Struthio camelus: one gene and its partners. The protein of the gene in region 3 purifies or fractionates together with the protein of the main gene of each other region. This does not show direct contact. Links are inferred from orthologs where the notes say so. Each region holds a gene or a part of one and is shown on either strand. Other genes may lie near its edges.

Evidence for each region. The genes of interacting proteins can lie anywhere in the genome.
Region 1: the proteins of POLR2J (region 3) and RPRD2 purify together in Homo sapiens (affinity purification with mass spectrometry; 3 studies listed by BioGRID and IntAct, with this or other methods). This does not show direct contact. The link is inferred for Struthio camelus from reciprocal best matches to the Homo sapiens genes POLR2J and RPRD2.
Region 2: the proteins of POLR2J (region 3) and RPRD1A purify together in Homo sapiens (affinity purification with mass spectrometry; 3 studies listed by BioGRID and IntAct, with this or other methods). This does not show direct contact. The link is inferred for Struthio camelus from reciprocal best matches to the Homo sapiens genes POLR2J and RPRD1A.

The regions. Positions count from the first base shown.
Region 1 is NC_090971.1:2,706,827-2,714,687, forward strand, and holds the start of RPRD2 (regulation of nuclear pre-mRNA domain-containing protein 2), read right to left. Parts: upstream 3,003-7,861; 5' UTR 2,948-3,002; coding exon 2,740-2,947; intron 1-2,739. Other genes in the region: PRPF3 (U4/U6 small nuclear ribonucleoprotein Prp3), read right to left, coding at 5,723-5,869, 6,203-6,264, 6,711-6,794, 7,416-7,534, 7,631-7,744.
Region 2 is NC_090943.1:68,678,580-68,685,744, reverse strand, and holds the start of RPRD1A (regulation of nuclear pre-mRNA domain-containing protein 1A), read right to left. Parts: upstream 3,003-7,165; 5' UTR 2,896-3,002; coding exon 2,745-2,895; intron 1-2,744. UniProt on the Homo sapiens protein: Interacts with phosphorylated C-terminal heptapeptide repeat domain (CTD) of the largest RNA polymerase II subunit POLR2A, and participates in dephosphorylation of the CTD by RPAP2.
Region 3 is NC_090957.1:14,405,061-14,412,509, forward strand, and holds POLR2J (DNA-directed RNA polymerase II subunit RPB11-a), read right to left. Parts: upstream 2,558-7,449; 5' UTR 2,461-2,557; coding exon 2,408-2,460; intron 2,245-2,407; coding exon 2,155-2,244; intron 2,009-2,154; coding exon 1,834-2,008; intron 1,070-1,833; coding exon 1,034-1,069; 3' UTR 514-1,033; downstream 1-513. Other genes in the region: LRWD1 (leucine-rich repeat and WD repeat-containing protein 1), read left to right, coding at 236-376; ras GTPase-activating protein 4, read right to left, coding at 2,961-3,079, 3,210-3,274, 3,345-3,465, 3,554-3,689, 3,775-3,912, 4,164-4,333, 4,408-4,552, 4,800-4,937 and 6 more. UniProt on the Homo sapiens protein: Core component of RNA polymerase II (Pol II), a DNA-dependent RNA polymerase which synthesizes mRNA precursors and many functional non-coding RNAs using the four ribonucleoside triphosphates as substrates.

The DNA.
Region 1 (7,861 bases), on a different chromosome or scaffold from region 3:
AAATAAATATGCAAGATTTATGCCCTGCATGAATGCACAGAGTTAAAAGTGAGGTTCAAGTCAAAGATGAGGATCATGCCTTAAGTTACCGATGCTGTAGTCATGTTGAGCCTGACCTAGAGCAAGACGTTCACCAAGATACTCCAAAGAAGGGCCAAAATTCCCACAATGGCAAGAGACACCAAAGCGTGTCTAGTGCTTCTAGAGTTGAAGCACGCCTGCAAATCCTCAGTACAGAGATGAGAGCTGAATTTTATTTGGAGAGATTACTCAAAAATTGGGAGGGAGAAGAGGACCAAGGACAGAGTCCCGTGGAGTTCCTCAAGGAACGACGCAGCTTGGAGGAAGCTCATTTGGACAAAAAGGACAAGCTACCGCAGACCATGAAATGGAACAGGATTTCAAGGAGAAGAGTGTGAAGACAGTGGCAAAGGACAGATTGATTACGAGCAGGTCACTACAGATTAGAAAGAGCCATTTCTTAGAAACAAATACTCCGATTCTTATATTATTTTCTAAGATATCACCACTTGGTGCACTGACAAGGCAGAAAAAAAATATCAATCAAAATGTTAGTGAGCTTTATGTGATTTCTCCTCTAATCAGAACAACAGAAGAAAAATAACGCTCTAGTGACTTGTGATAGACACCTGAGCTCAATGGTAGCTCAGAATAAAGTTTAATTACACTCTTTAATGCTGACATTCGAAACAGGCTGTTTAATGTTGGTTACCAAGCGTAATCAAAACAGAAGAGTTAGGAGCATGGAAAAGGCTTAGCTTTATAGTTGCCCCATTCCATTTGGGCTGCCCATAGCAAAATCTTTCTCACAACATGGGTCTTCTTTCCACATTCAGCGCCAAAACCTCAGTTCCTAATGCCTTCTGGTCCAAAATAAGTCACGTTTTGCTAAAATGTAAACAGGTCGCTGAACTGAAGCAGCAACAGCTACTCACACTGTCTTTATCTCCACATAAATTCCAGGAATCCAAATCCATGACTACAACTGATGAGGATCTACAGTCATAACACTTACAGACAAGGCAATAGTTAACCTGTCACTACTCTTAACCTTCCTGCATAACAAGGTATCAGGCCAGTGTAGGATAGCCCCTACCTGAAGCTTCAGATCTGCTTTATTGCAGCTGAAGGCCTCATATACCGCAAGCCAAAATGGAAAAGAGGGCTCTAAGCACTTTGCAGGACTGCCTCAATACATAAAACAAACTATCCCAAACTTTACAAAAGATTTAGTAGAAACTGGAATGACACTTTAGAGTATTATCTGTGCATTACTACAAAGCTTACTTTAGCTCAATCAATAACATGCAAAGCCTTCATACATAGTGTGATAGTAAAGATAATTCAGCCTTTTTTAGACTTGTGAAAACGTTAACTTTCCCGCTCTCAGGTTACTGTTGCATCTGCTGCTAGAGTTCACCAAATCTGAGTTTTAGCATCCCATACTTTTCTTCTTATTTGTGACTAAAACAGACTATTTTATCTGTGGAATGGAACAGTGATGCTCCCTGATCCCAAATCAGAGCTGATATCATGCTTAAGACATCTTTTCCCCCACCTCTCAAAGTAATGTACTAAAATAACTCAGGCAAGCATTTGGGAGGCTGAGGGTACTACCATTCAGGTGCAACAAGGTCAGATTTTTTTTCTTTAAAGCATTAAAATGTGATGCTAAGCAGAAAACCTGCCCAGAAGCTGTGTGATGCCAGAAGACTTCTGAGCAATCATGCCCCAGAGAACCTCAGATTTCAGTTCACTCCTTAAAGGTTAAGTTGGAAACTCCTGGCACAAGCAGATAACTATACCCCCTTCTTCCCACAACACTCCCCACATTCTCAGCACTCCGTTGAGTTTCACAACCAGCCCTGGACTTTGTCAAACTGCAAGAGAATGCTCACGATCACAAATATTACATATTTCCACCCAAATTGTACCCTTCTTTCTGACAATCAAATACACAAATCATCCAAACAAAACAGCAAGCACTAAAAAGCAGGAACCGGACAAGAGAGCATGGCACCCGCCAAAACACAAGGCTGTAGGAAATTCTCTCTAACTTCATGCTTCCAAGAATATTCTAAAAATAGAAAGAGAGCTTTTCACACTTAGAAATACATCTTTTTCAAGACGCAGGCATGGTGCAAGAGATTAAGTAAGAAGCGTTTCTATATTTTTAATTACACGGCGCTCATTTGTATCACCAACATGAATCAAGGAAAAGGAATCAGATGGAAGGAAACGGCATTTTTTTAAGCTAACGCTGGGAATTACTTTGCCAAACTTCTCCACACAAACTAGATCCAAGTGACTTTCGCTGATGGACAAAATACCCCAACCATCCTGCAGCAGGCCGGTGACCGCCTAAACAGCGAGGCTGATCCGAGGCAAGCGCGGTCCAGAGCGGCGCACGCAGCCCTGGCACCGCACAGGTTGGACAGCCAGCGTAAATCATCGCCCCGCAGGGCATACATAATACGTGGGTTTTTAAAGGGATTTTGCAAAGCACTCGGGAGCACAAAGGGGGCACCCCGAGGGCTTCAGATTTGGGGTACGTGCAGGAAAAGCCTTCTGGCTGCTGCCTGCCCCCTCCCGTCGGTGGAGGGGGCCGCACTCCCCCCCTCCAACGAAGGGGAGGAGGGGAAGGTGCGTGCGGGGATCCCGGGGCCTCCCCCCCCCCCGCCACCGTCTCCTTCCCGCCGGGCCCGGGCCCGCACTCACAGCGCCGCAGCCACTTCATCCAGTGGTAGACGATGGTGCTGTGGTGCCGCTTGTTCTCCAGGCACCACGACGACAGCCCCTGGATGGACTCCATGGTGTTGGTGACCGCCTGGAACTTCCTGTCGAGCGAGGCCTCCAGGGCGCCCGCCGAGGACGACGACGACGCCGACGAGGAGGCCTTGCCGCTGCCTCCGCCGCCGGCCGCCATCTTCCTGCCCTGCTCGCCCAGGCGGGGCCGCGGGAGCGCGGACGGCGCCCTCCCCCCCCCCCCCCCCCGCGGCGAGGCGGGGGGCGCGGGCACGCGGCGGCGGGGGCGCGCGGGGCGAACGCGCCGCTCCCCCTCCCCTCCCCCTCCGCGCGCGCGCCCGCCGCTCCCCTCCTCCCGGTGGACGCGCGCGCGCGCGCGCGCAGCCGACGAAGCGAGGCAGCGGGAGCGCGCCCGCCCTTCCTCCCTTCTTTTCCTCTCGCCCTCCGCCGGGAGGGTTTTAATCGGCCGCGGGCGGCCGCGTCCCGCCTGCCCGGGCTGCGCCAACGGCCGGTTACCCGCCGGCCCTCCCGGCGCGCAGAGCCCGCCCCCCCGCCGCCATTTTGTACGAGGCTCCCTCACAACAGCCCCAGGGGTGGCACTGCGCACGCGCCGCCGGCGCCTCCCCCTCCTCCCGCGCCGCGCCGCGCACGCGCGCCCCCCCCTCCGGGGCATGCGCCAAGCCGCCTGCCGGCTAGTACGCAAGCGCGGCGCCCCCGCCACAGTGCACTCTGCGCATGCGCCCTTCCCCCCTCCCACCTCCGTGCGGCCCAGCCCGCATGCGTGGAGCCGGGCGGGCCGTGAGCCAGGGCGGAGGGCGCCGCGGGGGTCCCGGCAGCCCTTGCGCGGCGGCGGCGACGGTGGTGCTGGCCGCGCTCCCAGCCTGCCTTGCGCGCCAGCATGGCGCTGGCCGGCCGTGGTGGGGCCCTGCGGAGGGGCCCCGCGGAGCAAATCGCTCCATTATGCCCAAAACCACAGAATGGTTGAGGTTGGAAGTGACCTCTGGAGACCATCTAGTCCAACCCCGCTGCTCAGGCAGGGTCCTCTAGAGCACGTGGCGCAGGATCACATCCAGACGGCTTCTGAGTTATCTCCAGGGAAGGAGACTCCACCACCTCTCTGGGCAACCTGTGCCAGTGCTCCGTCACCCTGACAGCGAGCAGCTTTCCCTCATGTTCAGGTGGACCTTCCTGCAGTTCAGTTTGTGCCGGTTGCCTCTTGTCCTATCACTTGGCACCACGGAGAAGAGTCTGGCCCTATCCTCTTGACACCTTCCCTTCAGATACTTGCACACATTAATAATAACCCCCTGAGTCTTCTCTTCTCCAGGCTGAGCAGGCCCAGCTCTCTCAGCCTTTCCTCATATGAGAGGAGCTCCAGCCCCTTAATCATCCGCTGGACTCTCTCCAGTAGCACCATGTCTCTCTTGCACTGGGGAGCCCAGAACTGGACACAGTACTCCAGGGGGAGGCCTCCCCAGGGCTGAGGAGAGGGGCAGGATCACCTCCCTCGACCTGCTGGCAACACTCTGCCTCATGCACCCCAGGATACCATTGGCCTTCTTGGCCACCAGGGCACACTGCTGCCTCATGCTTAACTTGTTGTCCACCAGGACCCCCAGGTCCTTCTCTGCAGAGCTCCTTTCCAGCAGGTCAACCCCCAGCCTGTACTGCTGCCTGGGGTTAGTCCTCCCAAGGTGCAGGACCCTGCACTTGCCTTTGTTGAACTTCAGGAGGTTCCTCTCCAGCTCCAGCTCCCCAGCCTGTCAAGCTCCTTCTGAATGGCAGCACAGCCCTCTGCTGTATCATGCATTGTACTCATGCAAAACTTGACCTCAGCCTTTCTTAGCACATCCAGGCTTTCCCCCTCCAGCCTCTGCTTGCCCACCCCCCCCAGCTAACCCTCCTCCAGGGCCTCACACCTAAAAACTCAAAAGTCTCTCCCAGCTTTCCCCTGCCCCCCCCCCCCTTTGTTCTCCTTTACAGGTGAAGACAGGAGTCAGTGAAACAGCTTTGGCACTGTTTTGCAGATTTGTGAACAAGCCTCAGCCCACAGCAAAGAAAAGCAGGGTATAGCCACAGTGGCTGGAGCAATACGCTCCGTGCAAATGGGAGCTTTGAGTTTCTCCAAAGCAATTTAGCTTCCAAGGAGGAAGCTCAGCTGGGGCAATAACCCCTATCATTTAAAAAAGGGCACACAAAAAGCTCTCCCCAAACTTCATTGCTTGACAGCAACAATTCTGACTGCCAGCCCTCAGGCTCCCATTTCAGAAGTGTGACAGCAGTCAGATCTTTCCAAACTCAATTCAAGCTTGAGTGTGAAACAGAGGCAAGAGTCCAGCACAGCCCACCACCTGCAGGAACCACACACTGCCAGAAAAAGCGATGTAAAGAAACACAGCTTGCGCTTCCTTTTAAAAAAAAGTTTATTATGTAAATATAGGATGTGGGCTAAGTCCCCGTCTCCTACTCTGCTTTACAAATTCCAATGTTCCTTACCTGCAACCTTTAGACCATTGGGGCTCACCTAAACAACTTCCCCAGTGAGGAAATGACCTTTACATGCACCGATTACCCTGGCCAGTGTCACACCTCACCTACCAAGCACCTGACACAGTGGCGAGGCACTAGTACCTCAGTCTGAGACTGCTTGTTTTTCCTGAAGGACTACAGATATTCTTGAAAACAGTTTCTCTCCCACTACCCCAAAACTGAATCCTTTCCAGAGAAAGCAAGAGACACCTACAAGCACGGCTGATGGCTGGATGCTACCATCCAGCAGTTTTGCTCCAAGAGCTGAATTCATCCAGAAAACAAGTGTAACTGTGGTTTGTTTTAAAAAATATTTCTTTAATCATATGCCTTGTACTGTGGAGACCGGAGGGGAGGAAGGGGCTCGTCCAAGTTCCTGCGAGGTATTGTTCTCAAATGAACAGGAATGCTGGGGGTGGCAGCACCCTCAGTCTGTGGATTCCAGCACGGACTCGCTCAGAGCCAGGTCCCAGTAGTGCTCTGCTCCGTGCTTTTTAAAGTGCTCCCGTGCCATGTTTTCAGTGGGGCACTGCTTAAATTTCATTTCGCCAAAGCTGCGATCCTTTGCTGTGCCCTGAAACAGAGAAAAGGGACACTTTTTTGGATGCATCTCCGGGATAAAATAGCTGGAAATACACAGCAAACCCAGGAATAAACTTATTAATAGTTTAACAAATGATTAGCCAGACTTCCCCACAAAGCATGGGTTACATTGTGCAGGGGGAGGTGCTCATAATTCTGCTATAGTTAAATAAATGTGCGCAGAAAGAATCAAGCCAGTAGGATTTCATCTGGTCCAAAGCTTCAGAACAATTAAGTGGTTTCTGCTTCAGCTGTTCTGTTACAGGTTTAGCTTCCATCCAGTCTAAGCTCCTGGGACTCATATTTAACTAAAGTCGCCACTCACCTCCCAAACCAGAGAGCATTTGTTTGTTTTCTTAACAGATTCTTCATCAGACTCATCATCATCTAAAAAAAAAAAAAAAGAAAAAAAAATAAGGAAGTTGTAGTCCCCCAGGCAGGTGAAACAACAGCAACCCTCACTGCTAAGTCACCTACCCCTCACAGCACCTCTCCTGATGGACAGCAGTTACAGCTGCCATCTCTGTGCAAACCCCAGCTCACGTTTTTGGTGGTTACCTGGTGCTCTGGGCTTGGATCCCCTACCTCAGGCAACCACCTAGGACCTCCCTTTCTTTTATTACACCCAAAACACCTGAAGGTTGACAAATCTCCCCCTTCACTCACACTCTGTGACTTTTTGCCATTTAAAGCGGAGGACCAGCACTAGCGTGGCTCTTGGTGCATGACAGAGTGCTGCATTTAAATTATAATTAGGTCTACTTTCCAACACTCTAGAAAAACTTTTATCTCAATCTATTGCCACCCCTCTCCCTGAGTAGTTTTATGCTTACCCTCTCCCTTTGTGTTTGATGTTTGTTCATCCCATTTTATTCGATGGAGCATAAGACGCTTGAATTTCTTCTGTGCTTTTGGGCCTGGAGAGAATTGCAAATTCACATTCACACAGTTCTTCAACTCGGAGTTTTTAGAAGGTTTTAAGAAGCAGCAGAAGCCAAATGGCACCTGCAAACACAACTAAGCCTTTCAAAGCATACTCAGCTGACCAGGCAAGACAGGTAAAACACAGGCCAGGCCAACTCCAGCACAAGCAATTCCTGGCATGCCCAAGCTTTCCTGTGGCCTTTGGGATGACACTTAGCTCTAGATCATCTCAGTACCTCCTGCTGCAAAACAGATTCTTGCAACACCTTACAAAAATACTTAGAGCCATGCAAATGGTGAACACTGCAGCAGACTCAGAGTTGCGACCCTGCTTGCTCTAAGCAAACCCTGAGAGTATCATGGTTTCAAATCAAGTACACTTAACTGATGCTTTCCTCCAACATTTAGTGCTCTGGGTTTTCTAACTGGATTAGAATGCTCTGTAGGCAGTGCTAACTCCATTAAAACTATAATTAAGGGAGTTTTAAACTGCCTCCTGCTCTCCTCATCCTTCCATAAACCTCAGCCAGTGATTTGCACATGCAGGCATCTTTGCTAGAGGCAAGCTTTTGACCATTATGTCGTGTCCAAAAGCCTGTCTCCAAAGTCCTCACCTCCTTCTACCACGACCACGTTGACATCTTTGTGTAAAACCACCACGCCTGTTAAGTACAGCTGGCCAGCGTTTGCCTCAATTTTGAATTTTTTTGCTGGATTGCTCAAGTTTCTGACCCTAAAGACAGAACAGAATTTGTCATTTGTCAGGTCTAATAGAAATAGGCATATGAAAGAAAAAAAAATCTGTCAGAGTACAGAGCTCAGCGCTCACCTATACACAGCTATGTGCACCCCCTGTGAAATATCTTCTTTGAGCTTTTTAACTTTCTTCGCTTTTCGTTGTTCTGCTGTTAGTTTTCTTGCAGCATTTGCTTCTTCATGAGCTCTGGATGGGAAGAGACACCGCAATAAGCAGAGATGCGGCCTACCGCATGTCTATTCACGGCATCCAAATTGATCCTTCTAGTGTCACACACAGAACATGTCCCACAGACCCCAAAGC
Region 2 (7,165 bases), on a different chromosome or scaffold from region 3:
GCTAAACAGTCAATTCTAGAACACATCATACTAACTTTCCTCCAAGCTTTGACTGTTCCTAAGAACGATCCTATGTATGCTAAATGCCAGCATTTTAAAGAACTTCAGACAAAAGTGAAAGCAGTATTATAAAAACATAGATGTATGTATATCTGATTACTGAAGACATATCAACACTTAACAAATCATTAGCAACACCAGAATTTAGCAAGACAAATCCAGTGTTACATAACCCCTCTCAGTTACAGCAAAGGCATGAAAGTGTTGCCCATTCTAAGTTTGCATTTAAGTACAGGAACAACAAGTGAATCAATGAAAGCTCAACTATGGAACAATTGTAGGTGAAGGGGTGAAGATATGATGATTTGTACATATGCTGTAATATGGTATTAGAACACTGCCAATAATCCAAGTAAACAGGAGCAGACTACGATTTTAGTGTGCCCAATAACCTATATGTGCATTTGAAGTGCTGCCCCTCTTCACTTCTACTCCAGCATGATACAGACATTAACTATTCCAGAAGGCAAAGAATCAGAAACAAATCTTTAGGAGCAAAAGAACAATGATCTTAACTCTGTTTCATCAATAGCTAAAGTCACCTTAAGAAAAGTCTATGCAACCTGATCTAAACACAAAAAAGGGTCTTTTATCAAAATTGAAAGCATCCAGAAAAATTCAATCTCATACTATATTGTGTTCAACTCAGTCAGCTACGCAATGTTTTAGCCAAATCTTTCACAAGCCTGAAAGGGCGTAGGGTAGAAAGGTTTGGAGAAGGGGAGCAACAACAAAAAGGTGATACAACCAAAGGATATAAGATTTAGAAAGGCAAGGTTCAATTTTCAGTTCCAGGACAGTATTGCCTCAGTGAAAGCTGCGAGAAAGCAAAGCATACCCATCAGTTCTTGACAGAGGCTTTATCCTTGCCTCCCAATGCCCCCTCCAAATATTCAGCCCATGTTTCTAAAGTTTCATTTTTCCAGTTACTCATATTGGACAACAGGAAAATTATGCTAATGCTAAAGTTTAAGAGCTGAGCGTTGATGTTTTTGTTATGAACTAGTACTATGCATGTTATTCAAGACGACCAAATCACTGGCAGAGCACCAATCATTGAGAACACTGAAAATTTGAAGTTGTTTATTTTAGAAGACCCAGGAACATGAAGTGTTTCATATGCAGATGAAAGACCCATTCATTTGCTGTCAGAACAAGAAAATAAAAAAATCTTGCAACAACCATATAGTGAAATATTTTTATTTAGTCTTATGAGATAAGCCATCAAATCTACATTTTTTTAGATAATAAATTGAATTATTTGAAACTATGTATTAAAACATCCTGTAATGTGTCATTCCTTCTTCTAAAGGGGAAAAACACTCAGACTTGAAAGTTCAAAAGACAGCATTTCATACAAATATATTTTAAACAAAAATACAGTAGTCATGTGAATATCTACAGAGTTTATGAGAACCTGCTTCCATATTGCACTGTAAAGTTTTGTACTGTTTCATATTCAAGATTTTTGTTCTATGGTAGTTCAATCCTTTTTCTATGAAGTTATGTCCTCTAACCTAAGAGGTAATTATGATCCAGCCCTACACTCTTAGCATACCAAAACAAATACCATTTCTGCAGGTCATATTCTCCTGTTATTCGCTTGAAACTAAGGGAATGGCTTAGCTCCATTTTTCCTCTCCACTTGAAAACCTAGCCCTCTACTTTTGCCATTAAAGATTCAAGTATTATTGAGAGTAGAAAAGTTGCTATTGGAAGGCAATAACATTTTCTAGACCATGCTAGAGCTCTAGGAAGTAATTCTGGTTTTTTTTGTTTTTTTTTTTTAAATGAGTCAACTTAAGATCTAGTTACTTTCTAGGCAGGTCAGGTAAGGCTTCACAGGCCATCTCTGCCTTTCAGTGGCTGAACCACTTTCTACAGTTGCAAGTTCTTTCCTGTTAAAAGGACAGCCACACAAAAATCTAAGTCTGTGCATTCAGTAACATCAACTGAATACATCTAAAGAAACAAACTCATCCGTATTATGCTAACATCAGTATTAGTCCACTTGCAAAAACAGGAAGTAAATAACCCCTCTGGACATATTAATCACCCATCCCCTGAGGTATTCCCATCTTCAGCTGCTCCACGAGAATAACTGCTGGTATAAGTGGGCAAAGCCACCATGTCAGCCCACACAGACCCTTTCAAAGCTAACATTGTTGCAGACAACGAAAGATAACGCATAAAAACGGTTATGTTGTAAGTACCTTACCTATTACTATTATAACAAGAAGCCCTATACCCCGCGCTCGCTGCCTTCCTTCCCTTCTTTTGCCCCTTTTTTCCTTGCCGCTGTGGGGAGGGACAAGTCAACACGAAAAGCAGCATCCTCAGAAACATCTCTGGGAGGGAGGGAAGGAAGGAGGGAGAAAGAGGGGGACCGCGGGGGGGGGGGGGGGGAAGAGAAAGGAGAAACACCTCCCAACCCCAGAGTCATCAAGAAAGCAGGGTTTGTTACTTGTCTCGGTAGCTCCGCGGACGGCTGGCGGCCTCCCCCTCCCCGCCCCTTCGCCGTCTCGACAGACCAGGCCGACCTCCCCGGGCAGGCACAGCCCCGAGGGCGGCCCCCTCCCCCGCAGCCGGGCCAGGCGCCACCACCTCCATCCCCGCCGTCCCCGGCGAAGGCCCCACCCGGCACCGGCGGGCGGCCGAGGGCCCCGCGCCGGCGGCAGCCTCACCTTTGCGCAGCTCCCGCTCCCACACGCTGACGATGAGCGCCGAGTGTTTGCGGTGGTGGATGAGCCAGAGGCTCAGCGTCTGCACGCTCTGCTGCGAGTTGCTCAGCTCCGACAGCTTCCGCTCCAGCGCCGCCTCCGAGAAGGCCGACATACCGGGCCGCTGCCGCCGCCGCCGCCGCTGCTCGGCCTCGCCGCCGCCGCCAGCGCCCCCGCGGCCCGGCCGCGCTCAGTCGTCGACGACGCCGCCGCCGCTCCGCCCAGCGGGGGAGGAGCCCGGCGCTCCCCGGCCCTTCCCTTCCCGCTTCGCCGGCCGCCACTTCCGCGCGCCCCGGCAGCCCGCCGCGAACAAAATGGCGGCGGCCGCCGACCCTCCCGGAGGCCTGCCGGGCCGGGCCCCGCCCCTCCTCCTCCGCGCCTCACTTCCGGCCGAGGGGAGGGGAGGGGAGGGGAGTGCTGGGAGCGGTTCCCGCCTTTTGTGCGCGCGCTCTCGCGCGCGTGTCCCAGCGGCCCTCGCGCGTGCCCCAACCGCCCGACCGTTGGGGAGGGGTGACGGGAGGGGTGACGGGAGGGGGGGGGGGTTGGGCGTGGACGTGGACGGGCGGGCGACAGTGTGCCCCCGCAGCCACACCAGGGCGCGGGGCAGCTCGCTTAAGTCCTTCCCTCTGCCTTCTCTTGCCCTCGGCAACCTTTTTCTAAAAAAAAAAAAAACCTTTTCTTTCACTCTCTTTTTCTTTTTAAAATTCTTGGCTTTGACCCCACCCTGTGGCACAGTTCCATAATGATTCCATAATGATGGTTTATGTGCCGAAGCATTTCCTCTTCCTTGTTTCAAACCTGTTCCCTTAAAAGCTTTGATGGATGCCCGCTAGTTCTACTGTTGTGGGAACAGTGAATAAAAGTTGTTCCATGCCCAGGTTCTTGGTGGTGTTCATCGTTTTGGAGATTTCATATTGTGTCGTCTTCAGTATTTTCTTTTTCAAGCTGAAGAATCCAAATCTATTTAGTATTGTGCCTGGGTGGAAGATACTGTATGTTGCCGGGCATGTGTAGCTTTTCTAGTCTTAGTCTTTCTCTTTTAAAAATGTCTCACATCACATCTTATTTTAAATATCACTGAGTAACTGACACTGACTATGCACTTTAGGTCCTACAGATTCGTCCTGAATCCTTTCTCTGGGTAGTTAATCATTACAACTGCAGGCAATGTCACAGATATTGTTTTAATATTTCTATACAATTATATGTGTAAGAAAAATATGCTTATACTGTACTTGGGGGCATCCTGACAGTGGTTTAAGTATTCACCCTTAAAACAGTGTTCCTGTAACCCTATCCACATCCAGTTGCTTCTTACTGAAAAGCAACAAGCTAGTTGTGAAAAAATCTTTAAAATGTTTTTAAAACTAATTTTTTTCCATATTTCGTGTCTTACATTCAGAGAAGATGGCCCAGATGATTCTCATGAGCATTCTTTTCAGGGAATTTTCTTAATACTGGTTCTTTTTAAAGTATGAGTCATGTCAAACATAAAACCTTGGGGGTGTTATATATTTTCAGGTGAATTTTATTCACAAAATCGTCTGTTTCTGTCCGGCTTTGATGATTTTGGATGATTTCCGGCAGAAGAATTTAAGCAAAGAGCTGCACTAATCTTTGGGAAGTCTTGTTTTTTATAATTTCACTGCAATTTGGTAATCATGAATGAAAGAGAATGTGTAGTACCATGCTATTTTTGCTAGGTACAGCAGAGGACACTGTTGGCATTATATAGAACTGGCCACTGACGTAAAATTAAGATAGAGCTAACATAGATGCAAGCATTAGCAAAATTAAATATGAATAGCAATTTAGAAATTAACTTTCAAATAATATTTTCTGGAGGTGCACATTCTGAAGTTAATGGTGGAAAATGTTGTGTGCAACTATGGAAAAAGATATAGATTTATCTCACAATAGTGGATGAAAAAGGATCTGACAACTAACTGGGCAAACTTTAGAAGTTAAAGCAGAGAAGATAAGGAAAAATAACAAAGCGGGTCTAGAGAATGTTAGTAGTAATTGCAGTAATGCTTATTAGTGCTTCCTTTGCATCCTTCATCCCAGATTCTCGAAACATTTTATAAACAAGGATAAATCCTCTGAGATAGGTATTTTGTTTATTCTGCAAATAAATATATTTGAACGGCAAGAGGACTAAATGATTATTACGTGTTATACAGCAAAACTAGAATTTATAGCACATTTTAAATTTTTAATTGTAAAAGTTTACATCAATAATCTAATTCTAAAAGCTATGCTCATCCAGTCAGAGAATCAGAGTTTTCTATGAGACTTAATCAAAGTCAGCTGAATCTCAAACAACAAGTATTCACAATGGGATATTCGTTTGCTTTGGAGCTTTGAAAACCTCAGCTTTAATTCAGAGAAGCTTTAATTCAGAGAACAATTGGTGAATTATTCACAGAATCACAGATTAGCTGGCTTTGGAAGGGACCTCTGGAGATCATCTGATCCAACCCCCCCCCCTTCTCAAGCAAGGTCAGCTAGAGCAGGTTGCCTAGGACTGTGTCCGTTTGGGTTTTGGATATCTCCAACGATGGAGACTTTACAACCTCTGTGAGCAACCTGTTCCAATATTCAACCTCCCTCAAAGTAAAAATGTTTTTCCTTATGTTCAGACAGGACTTTCTGTCTTTCAGTGTGTTCCCATTGCCTTTTGTCCTGTTACTGGGCATCACTGAGAAGCATCTAGCCCTGTCTTCTTTGCACCCTTCTATCAGATGTTTATAAACATTTATGAGATTCCCCCTGAGTCTGATAAACATAATAATCTGATAAACATTTATCAGGCTTCTCCAGGCTCTTCTCCAGGCTAAACAGTCCCAGCTCTTTCACTTGCTTTTGAAAAATTCACCCAGCTCTGCAAGGGCAGAGTTATAAACAGATGTCACGTTTTCTTCCGCTCATTGCTGTATTCAAACCATAATAACATCTTTCCTCTAATTTGCTAAGAGCAAAATTATGCCCTGCTGCCTTTCTGTCTGATTCTGCACTTCTATCTGATCACCATGGGTTAGTGATAGTCCACTGTCTTCTCCAGTACCCAGAGAATTGACCCCATGTGAGTTCTAAGACAATGAATGTGATTAAATTGCGGAGTTGATGTTTTTGTAGAATATGGGCCCAGGAAGCTCTAGGTAGTTCAAAAATGTAGTTACATCTCAGATTGCACTAGCAGTCACCAAAAGGCTTTACAGCATCTATACACTGTATGTTCATGTTCTAGAAGCAGATTTTATGCTTCTCATTTCCTCTCACTGAAGGACATCCACATCAAATTGTTCTTAAATGCGGAATTTCACTCTAGTAACAACTGGAATTCCCTCTTACCTTGAGGGAATCTTAGGAAGTGTTTTAGCACTAGAAGGGCTGATCTGTCTCTAAAATAACAGTGCTTGTGGTGCATTGTGGAAAAAGTGAAAGCACCCTCCGCATACACCACCACCAGTCTGTGTCATTCTATTTTGTTTTTGTTTTTGCCAAATACCTAAGCATTTCTGTCATCTAGTGTTAGTTCAAAGAGAAGGCTTGGTTCTACCAAGATGACAAGGGCATGCAGTGTCTTGACTCTACTATAGGTCTGTCTCACAACTATGCCAAGCCACAAAACTATATATGTGCTCCTTCTCTGCCTGAGTCCTTCCACCTCATGATCAGAAGGTTGAACCCTGTTTCTTGGACTGCACAGCTCTCGGCAGAGCTTACTGAGTTTAGCTCCCTGTACTCTTGGAGCCATGATCAAAACAAAGCTGCTCCAAGACAAAAGCATGATTTTTTTATATCCAGAAATTATAAAGGTAGAGAAACAAAAGATAAGATAACACAGGCTTATGTATTTTCTCTGAAACTGGCAAGAAAGGGCAAAAGTTAAGAGAGCATAGTATTGAGAGGGATAAGGTAGATTGTCTATACCAACTCTGCATCTCTCGTCTTTCAGATAAGGCTTAAGGCATGGGCAAAGTAGGTGGTTTGCTTTGGTTAGTAGAGTGACCAGAACAGCAAAATGGGCATAGCTCCTCTACCTACAGTACTTATGCCAGTGTCACAAAAATGTGCCCTTGAGTGTGTTAGGGTACTGCTGGAGAAGCCGAGCAGCCCCTCCCAGGAGCAGCAGTAATCACTAGCACCAGCTCTCCCAGTCTCCTACCAGGAGGCATAACAAGTTCACTTCTGCAGGCCCTACATTCTTATTGGCTATCTGTCCCAGCTTTGTCTTTTTGCTTTCCCACTTCTTGCCCAAGGCAGGGATGGCTTGACATGCCTCATGCCTCTGGCGTTCAAATGTTACTCAAAATATTATTTTGCCTATGCTTAGGGCTGCTCTGTTCACCTTAGTTTACAGATTGTCTTTTAAATAATCA
Region 3 (7,449 bases):
GAACATCATAAAGGTGTATGTCCTGCCATGAAAAAGGGGAAGGACTCTTCCAGTCAGCTTCCCCAGGTCGGTAGAGATGTAGCACTGTGCTGGAAGCAGATTCCACAGCAAACGAATTGTCAAACTAGGACGTGCAGTAGTTAGTATCCTCCAAGTTACAGACGCAATACTGTTCCTTTTGTCTTTGTGTAGAAAGAAAGAAAAAAAACCCACAAAAACTCTGTTCTCTTCCTAGATTCTCAAATGGCCAGAGCTTCGAGCAAATGGGGAGCAGCTGACTGAAGTCCTAATAAACAATGTGATAACAGACCCCACCTTCACTTACCTTGTTGCTCTAACTAGTGTGAACATAACAGCCATTTGGAAGAAGTCATAGTTACTTGTAATGGAAAGTTTCATTCCCGTGCTTTGAAATAGTGCAGTATTAGTGACTGTTACCCATGTAACCATATTTTCTAGACCAGCTATTATCATGCAAGAGAAAAAGGGAAGAGTTTGTTACAACTCCTCAAGTCATTGTAAACATCCAGTTTCTTTTACTGTAAGTTTTCACAATTTGTGCATTTGTTTTATAGAACTGACACTTAATAAAACAAAATACCAGTTCAGTTGGCAGTGCAAAGACTTTTTGAAAAACATATACACACACACACACACATATATATATATAGGATTGGGGCTGTGCTAAGAGAGTTCATCCACCCCTATCACTCAGGAACTTCTCACACTGGAAGTACAGTCACTAGGCTAACATACACCCCTGCCAGCAGCCTAGTACAAGTATTTGCCTTATGGTTCCAATTAGAAAAGTAAAAAGTGATTTTAATGAAGTATCCATCAAATCAAACAAGACTTTAATCCTCTTGGCATAGGACCCAAAAAAGCCCCAAACTATTGCGACTACTTTCAAGAATTAAACGACGAGTGGGACAAGTAGAAAATCTTTGCCATGAATGACGGTTCAGATAAAGCATTCAACTAATAGCCATATCACTCTATACCAGAGGTACAGTCCATTCTAAACATGATAATTTTATTCGATTCCTTCTTGTTTGTCTTTAATGGCAACCTGTAAAACAAACAAAAAAAAAATACAGACACTAAGACAAAAAATATCACCGAGATGGAAGAAGTTATTTTAAACATAGGTATCAGTCTTCTGCGAAGCACAAGAACAACTGCGAAACAGTGGAAATCTCTGCGCCACATGCTAAATAATATTTAAAGTAAAATCAAAACATACTGGCAAAAGAATTCCTAGTGCACTGTTACCTTTTATGAGCATATCAAAGAATATTACACATATACTACGTTATTCAAAGCTCTCCCTGCTTTTGTCTGACATACTTTTCAGCTAGATTAAATCTAAAAAAGATCTGAGGCTAAAAAAATAGAATTGTACATTAGAGCACAATTAACCAAAAAAGTATTAAAAACAAATACTGTCCCTTGAAAGAGTTTTGGCAGAAGGGGGGGGAAAAAAAAAAAGGGGACTTGGAAGAACTAGAGAATTGTTTTCCATTCCAATAAAACTGGGAGAAATCCAATACTGGACAACTAGGAAAGACAAAGCACCCATTTAACTCTTGTAGGGTATGCCAGCGCACCCCCCCCCCCCCCGCCCTCTCCCCCCTTGCCCCGTAAGGGCGGCCAGACGTCACCATCCCTTGACAGGAGCTGTTTGTGCTATGAGCTGCTGCACGTAGCTTTGATGAATTCATTGCCTAAAAATGGCAGCAGTTCTAACATACACTACCCCTTCCATTTAACTTTCAAGCAGGTGAGCTTTCTGCAAGTAATAAATAGAATAAAAGCTAAAGTAAACAAGCTTACCCTGAACCTCTCCTCCAGGAGGGAGAGTTCACTGATCAAGTCTGTGATGGCGTTGGTGAAAGCTTCCTGGGGACTGTAATCCGGCGTGGTCTGAACGCGGATGATGATTTTGTGTTCCAGCGGGTGCGGCACTTTGTAGCCCGCAAACAACACCTGCGGGTCTTTCAGTAGCTGCCTGGAAGGGGAGCAGCAGTGGGCAGCCATGCTTTGCTGCCAGCACCCGCTAGACCCGCCGCAGCCCCCGACCGGGCTGAGCGCCGCGAGCGTCTCCGGCCGCCCCAACGGCCGCCCCCCCCCCCCCCCCGGCCGCGGCCCACTCACGACTTGATGATGTTGCCCAGCGTGTGGTCCTCCTTGTTGATGGTGAAGAGGCAGGCGTTGGGCACCTTCGTGTCCTTGTTGATGGTGATCCTGCGCGCACACCCCACACACACCCCCGTCAACGCCGGCGCCGCCCCAACGCGGAGCCCGCCCGGGCCGGGCCGCGGGGCACCGGGCTCCCCCTCCCGGGCTTCCCTTCGCGGAGCCGCCCTCGCCCGGCCCCCGGGACCCCCCTCCCGCCGCCGCCGCTCACTTCTTCTCGCCCTCGAAGAGCAGGAAGGACTCGAAGGCCGGAGGCGCGTTCATCCCGCCGCCGCCGCCGCCGCTCGCCCCGCCGTTGCCACAGCGCCCAGCGCGTCACTTCCGCCCGCCGCCGGCTCCCGCTTCCGGCGGCGCCGCCTCCAGCGCCCCGCAGGGCTCCGCGCAGCCGCCGCGGTGACGTCGGCGGCAGCGCCATCAGTGACGTCGGCGGCGGTGCCCCCAGCAGCGCCGCCAGCCGCGGTAGCGCCCGCGGAACCGCCAGCGATGCCCCCCCCCCCCCCCGGGCCACCAGCCATGCCAGATGGCGTCACCAGTGATGTCACCATCAGCGCCCTTAGTGCTGCCATCAGCGATGGCACCACGGCCACCCGCCCTGTCCTCAGTCCTCCCCCCCCCCCCCGGGCCACCCCGCCGCCCCACAGCGCCGAGGAAGGACGACGGGGCGCAGGGTGCGAGGAGCCTTTATTGCCTTGGCGGTGGCGGCGCGGGGCGGGGAGGCCCCGCGTGCCCCTCAGTGGCGGCGTCCCCGGGCGCGGGGGGGCCCCTCAGGTCTGCAGCTCCAGGAGGGGGCCGGGGGCGGGCGCGGGGTGCGCCCGGCAGTGGCAGCCCTCGAGGTCCCCCAGCACGGCCAGGAGCCGGCCCAGCCCCTCGGGCAGCGGCCCCCCTGTGGAGGGGGACGAGCAGAGTGAGGCCGGCGGCCCCCTGAAGCACCCCTTCCCCTGGCACCCACCCCCCACAGGTTGTTGGGGGGGGGTCCCTCCCTCCCAAAATGGCCGCCCCACCACCCACGCTACCTTCAGGGCGGCTCCAGGGTCCATTGGGGGTTTCCTGGGCCTCCAGCAGCTCCCGGTACCTCTCCCTGAAGCGAGAGGGATGAAGCCACAAGCAGTGGGTGGCCCCCCAGCCCCCCACCCTGGCCCCCGCCGCACCTCATGGGCTCCCGCAGGCCGCAGAGGTGGCGGAAGATGAGCTGCGCCTCCATGTCTGGCTCCAGCGGGTCGCTCCACTCCTGCAGGGTGACGCCGTGGCGGCTGGCGTCGCAGCCCAGCCCTAGGGGACAAACCCGCCGCCGCTCGGGCCCCGCCGCTCCCCAGCGGGGAACCCGGCCGGCCCCCGTCCCCTGCCCGCCCCGCCATACCCGTCTTGTCCTTCTGGTGACAGCAACTCCACTTGTCCCCTCTGAAGACGCCGGGGTGGTAGGAGCAGAGCATCTCGGGGTTGTTGGCGCAGGCTTTGCGCAGGGCCGAGAGCCACTGGTTCAGCTCGTTGACGCACTGCAGGACGGGACGGGGCAGTGATTGGGGGGGGGGGGGGGGGCCTATGTGCACGGCGGCCCCGGCCCCGGCCCCCCACGCCCACCTTGCACTGCAGGTACACCGTCTCCTGCTGCCCTTCCTCGTCCACGTAGACGATCTGCATCACGTGGGAGCTGCCGAAGCTCTTCTCCTCCACCTTCTCAGCTGCCCGGATGTTGGACAGTGCGATGGAGCTGCTCTTCTGTCACCAGGGATGGAGGGAAAAGTGGGGCTCAGCACCCTCCCTGCAGCCTCTGGAGACACCTGAGAGCCACCAAGGACTGGAGGGAGGGAGCTATGGGGCACTGCCACGTCGCCATCGCCAGCCTTGACCCACCATGCAATGCAGAGCCCAGCACCCCAGGGTGGCACACGTCCCCAAGATGGGGCCCATGGCTCTGCCAGCACCTTTCCCATGCAACGCCAGCCCTACTGAGACACGTCCCTCCATACCTTGGAGTTGGGGGTCTTGGCAAAGCTGAGGGCCTCACTGGTGAGGGAGAAGTGCAGTTTCTTGGAAGAGGAGGAGAGCAGCGGCCCCTTGCCCCTGGTTTTGTGGACGAAGAGTGGGCCCTCCTTGACAACCAGCGTCTGCAGGGTGAGGGCGTTCTGCAAGTCCAGCTCTGTGGGGAACAGCCCCGTGCTTGTCAGGGGGAGCCCGCAGGGCTGCGCCCGTCCCTACAGCCACCTCCCTCACCTTCCTTCTCCTCGATGCCCACCAGCTCGGTGATGAAGTCCTTCATCCGGGTGACGCCACGCTGCAGCGCGGGCTGCAGTGGGGCCAGCCAGGCCTCCTTGGCCCGGCCTGCTGCCGCCTCCATGTTCCCCACGATCTGGATGGCCTGGAGCCATGAGGGACAGCGGAGTCAGAGCTGCAGGCACCACACAAGACCCCAGGTGTCCTGGCCCTTCCTCACCAGCCAGCCCCGCAAGGACATGGCGGCTGGGCACTCAGCAAACCCCAGGAGGGCCACGCAGCACCCTGGCCAGGAGGACACAGCACCAGGACCCTAGCCTTCCACCCCTCCCCAAACAGGCCCAGGTGACCCAGAGCAGGTGCCAGGGACCCTTTCTGTGTCCCCATCCCACCTTGGCCAGGAGAAGCAGCGTGCGGCTGGTGCGGGAGTCGGCGTGTTTCTCCCGGAGGTAGAAGAGTTTGGGGGTCATGATGGCTGGTGAGAAGAAGCGGAGGCAGAGGAAGCTGGTGACGGCGATGAACTTCACGTTCTGCAGCCACGCAGGGGGCACAGGACGCACATGAGGGCACAAGGCATACAACATGTTCACGAGGGCATGAGCCACGTGTGAAGGCACAACACACGAGGGCTGACATTCCCCGGGCAGGGCACATGCTGATTTATTCCCAGGGCTCCTTCACTGGTGCCTCGGGGAGGCCGTGGCAGCTGCCTCCACGGCACGAGCAGGAATCCCATATTTATGTGGGATGTGACTGCGAATAGGGTGGGAGTGAAATTGTGGTGACGAGGGCCAAAAGAGCCTCACCTTGCAAAGATGAGCCCCATCTTCCCCAGGGCCTCCAAGCTATGGGGGGCGATGCCTCCAGTCCCCCATCCCCTGGGAATCTCCAAGGGAAATTCCCCAATTTTCAAATAAACTGAAAGCAGAAAGTCTCATGATTCTGAGCCACTGCTGTGGGGCCTCCTGGGAGCTGCAGTTCGGTGCTGCGTGCCCTGCTTTCCCCATGCACCGTTCCCAGTGGGAAGCACCCAACCCCTGCCGAAGAGGGGAACCCTGGGGTCCCGTAGCCCATGCCAAGCCTTAGCCAAGGCTCCTGGCGCAGAGCGCGGCCACCCCCGAGGGAGAGCAGGACCCCGAATCATCCATCATCCCCCCAAGGGCCTTCCCCTCTTGCCCACCTCGTGCTGGTGCTCAGGGAAGCGCTCCCTGACGCGCCGGAAGAGCTGGCGGAAAGCAGCGCGGACGATGGCGGGGCAGGCCGGGGCCGACTTGGCGATGGCGGCCAGGAGCTCCCCCAGGTAGGACTGGAGGTGCTGGCAGCTCTGCTCGATCACCTCGCTCTCCGTCTGCACGCGGTGCAGCCCCGAGCACCTGTCGACACAGCCTGCCGTCAGCCCCGCCGGGGGCTGGGGGGCCCTCGGGAGATTGCCGTTTCCCCCTCCGTCCGCATCCCGCAGCGCTGCCCCTTACCCAACGTCTTTAATCTCCACCTTGCTGGGGTCCAGCTCCACGTACTTCTTCTCCTCAAACACCCGGTTGATGGTGGGCCCGAGGACAGCGTGCAGGTACTGCATCCCGGCCACCTGGCAAGAGACAGAGCAGGGGACACAGTGCTGGGGACACCACTGCCACTCTGCCAGCGGCACCCGCTACAGACACCCCAAATCCCCCTGCTAAGAGCCGCCCAGGGTTACTTTGATTGTTTCTTTCTGTGCAGCCTCCAGCCACCTCCTGGCACATCCCCGCCCAGCAACGAGCATCCCTGCAGGCCAGGGCCAGGGATCCCTGCGGGCATCCCTCCTGCCCAGAGCCAACCCCCCTCCCAGGGCGGGGGGTGACACAGGCACCAGCAGGGGCAGCATGGAGCTGGGACAACCTGAAAATATTGGGGTTCACCCCAAAGCTCCCAGCAGGGGCCCGCCGCAGGCAGGGTGCAGCCCGGCGGGCCAGCAGGGGGGCAGAGCACGTTCCCATGCCGGGGGCAGCGCGCAGCACCTTGAGGAAGGACTCCATCGACTTGGAGGCCAGGGAGTTGCTCCGGAAGAGAGTGTTGGGCTCGCCTGCAAAACACGACAGGGAGGGTCGCATGTCAGGGACAGCGACAGGCAGGTGTCACCCACCCTGCGGCCACCCCGCACCAGCCCCAGCTCCCAGCCTTACACGGCTTTGCCAGCTCCAGCTCAAAGAGCAGATCCAGGAACTCCTTGACCAGCCCCTGGCCCAGGAAGAGCTTGACCAGGTTGATGGCCACCTCCTGCCGACACTCGGCCGTGGTGGTTTCATCAAGGAGGGTGATCAGGTGCACTTTGCCATCCTGGTGGGGACAAGGGATGAAGACATGATGGCACTAGGGAAGCAGATTACCCCCCCCCCCCTCTGGGGAGGAGCTGACGTGTTTGGGACACGTGGGGCACACTCGGCCAGGGGCAATGCTCACCTGGGGCCCCGACTTCACCTCCTGGCACAGCAGCTGGACCAAGGGCTGGTAGCAGCTGGAGGGCAGCACCGTCTCGTCCCGCAGCCGCACCTGCAGCTGCAGAGATCCCAGGTTGCCTCTGCGACAGGACAAGTGTGGGATGGAGAGGCACCTCCCAGAGCAGGAGGCGTCCCAACATCCCGGCCCCCAGCCTCGGACATCCTCGGAGGGCACGTAGAGCTGCCCTGCACTTGCCCTCCCAGCTCTTGGCCTCTGAGTGAAGGGCTTTTCCCAGGAATTGCCTCTCCGGAGGAGCACTTTCCTAGGAATTGTCCCTCCAAGGAAAGAGCATTTTCCAGCAATTGTTCCTCCAAAGGAAGGGAAGAGCGTGGCCAAGGGCAGGGCATTTCCCAGGAACTGCTCCTCCAAACGAAGGGCACGTCCCCGGAATAACCCCTTCCCGACACGCTGCAGGCCCCGGAGTTGGTGTGACCGCCCGCCCCTCACGCGTCCCACCGCACGCCATCCCTCAGCGAGACTCACTCGGCTTCCCTCGGCTTGGATTTGTCCGGCTGCAGCCGGAACCAGCCCTCCTCCTGCCGGACCGCCTGCAGCCCCGGCACG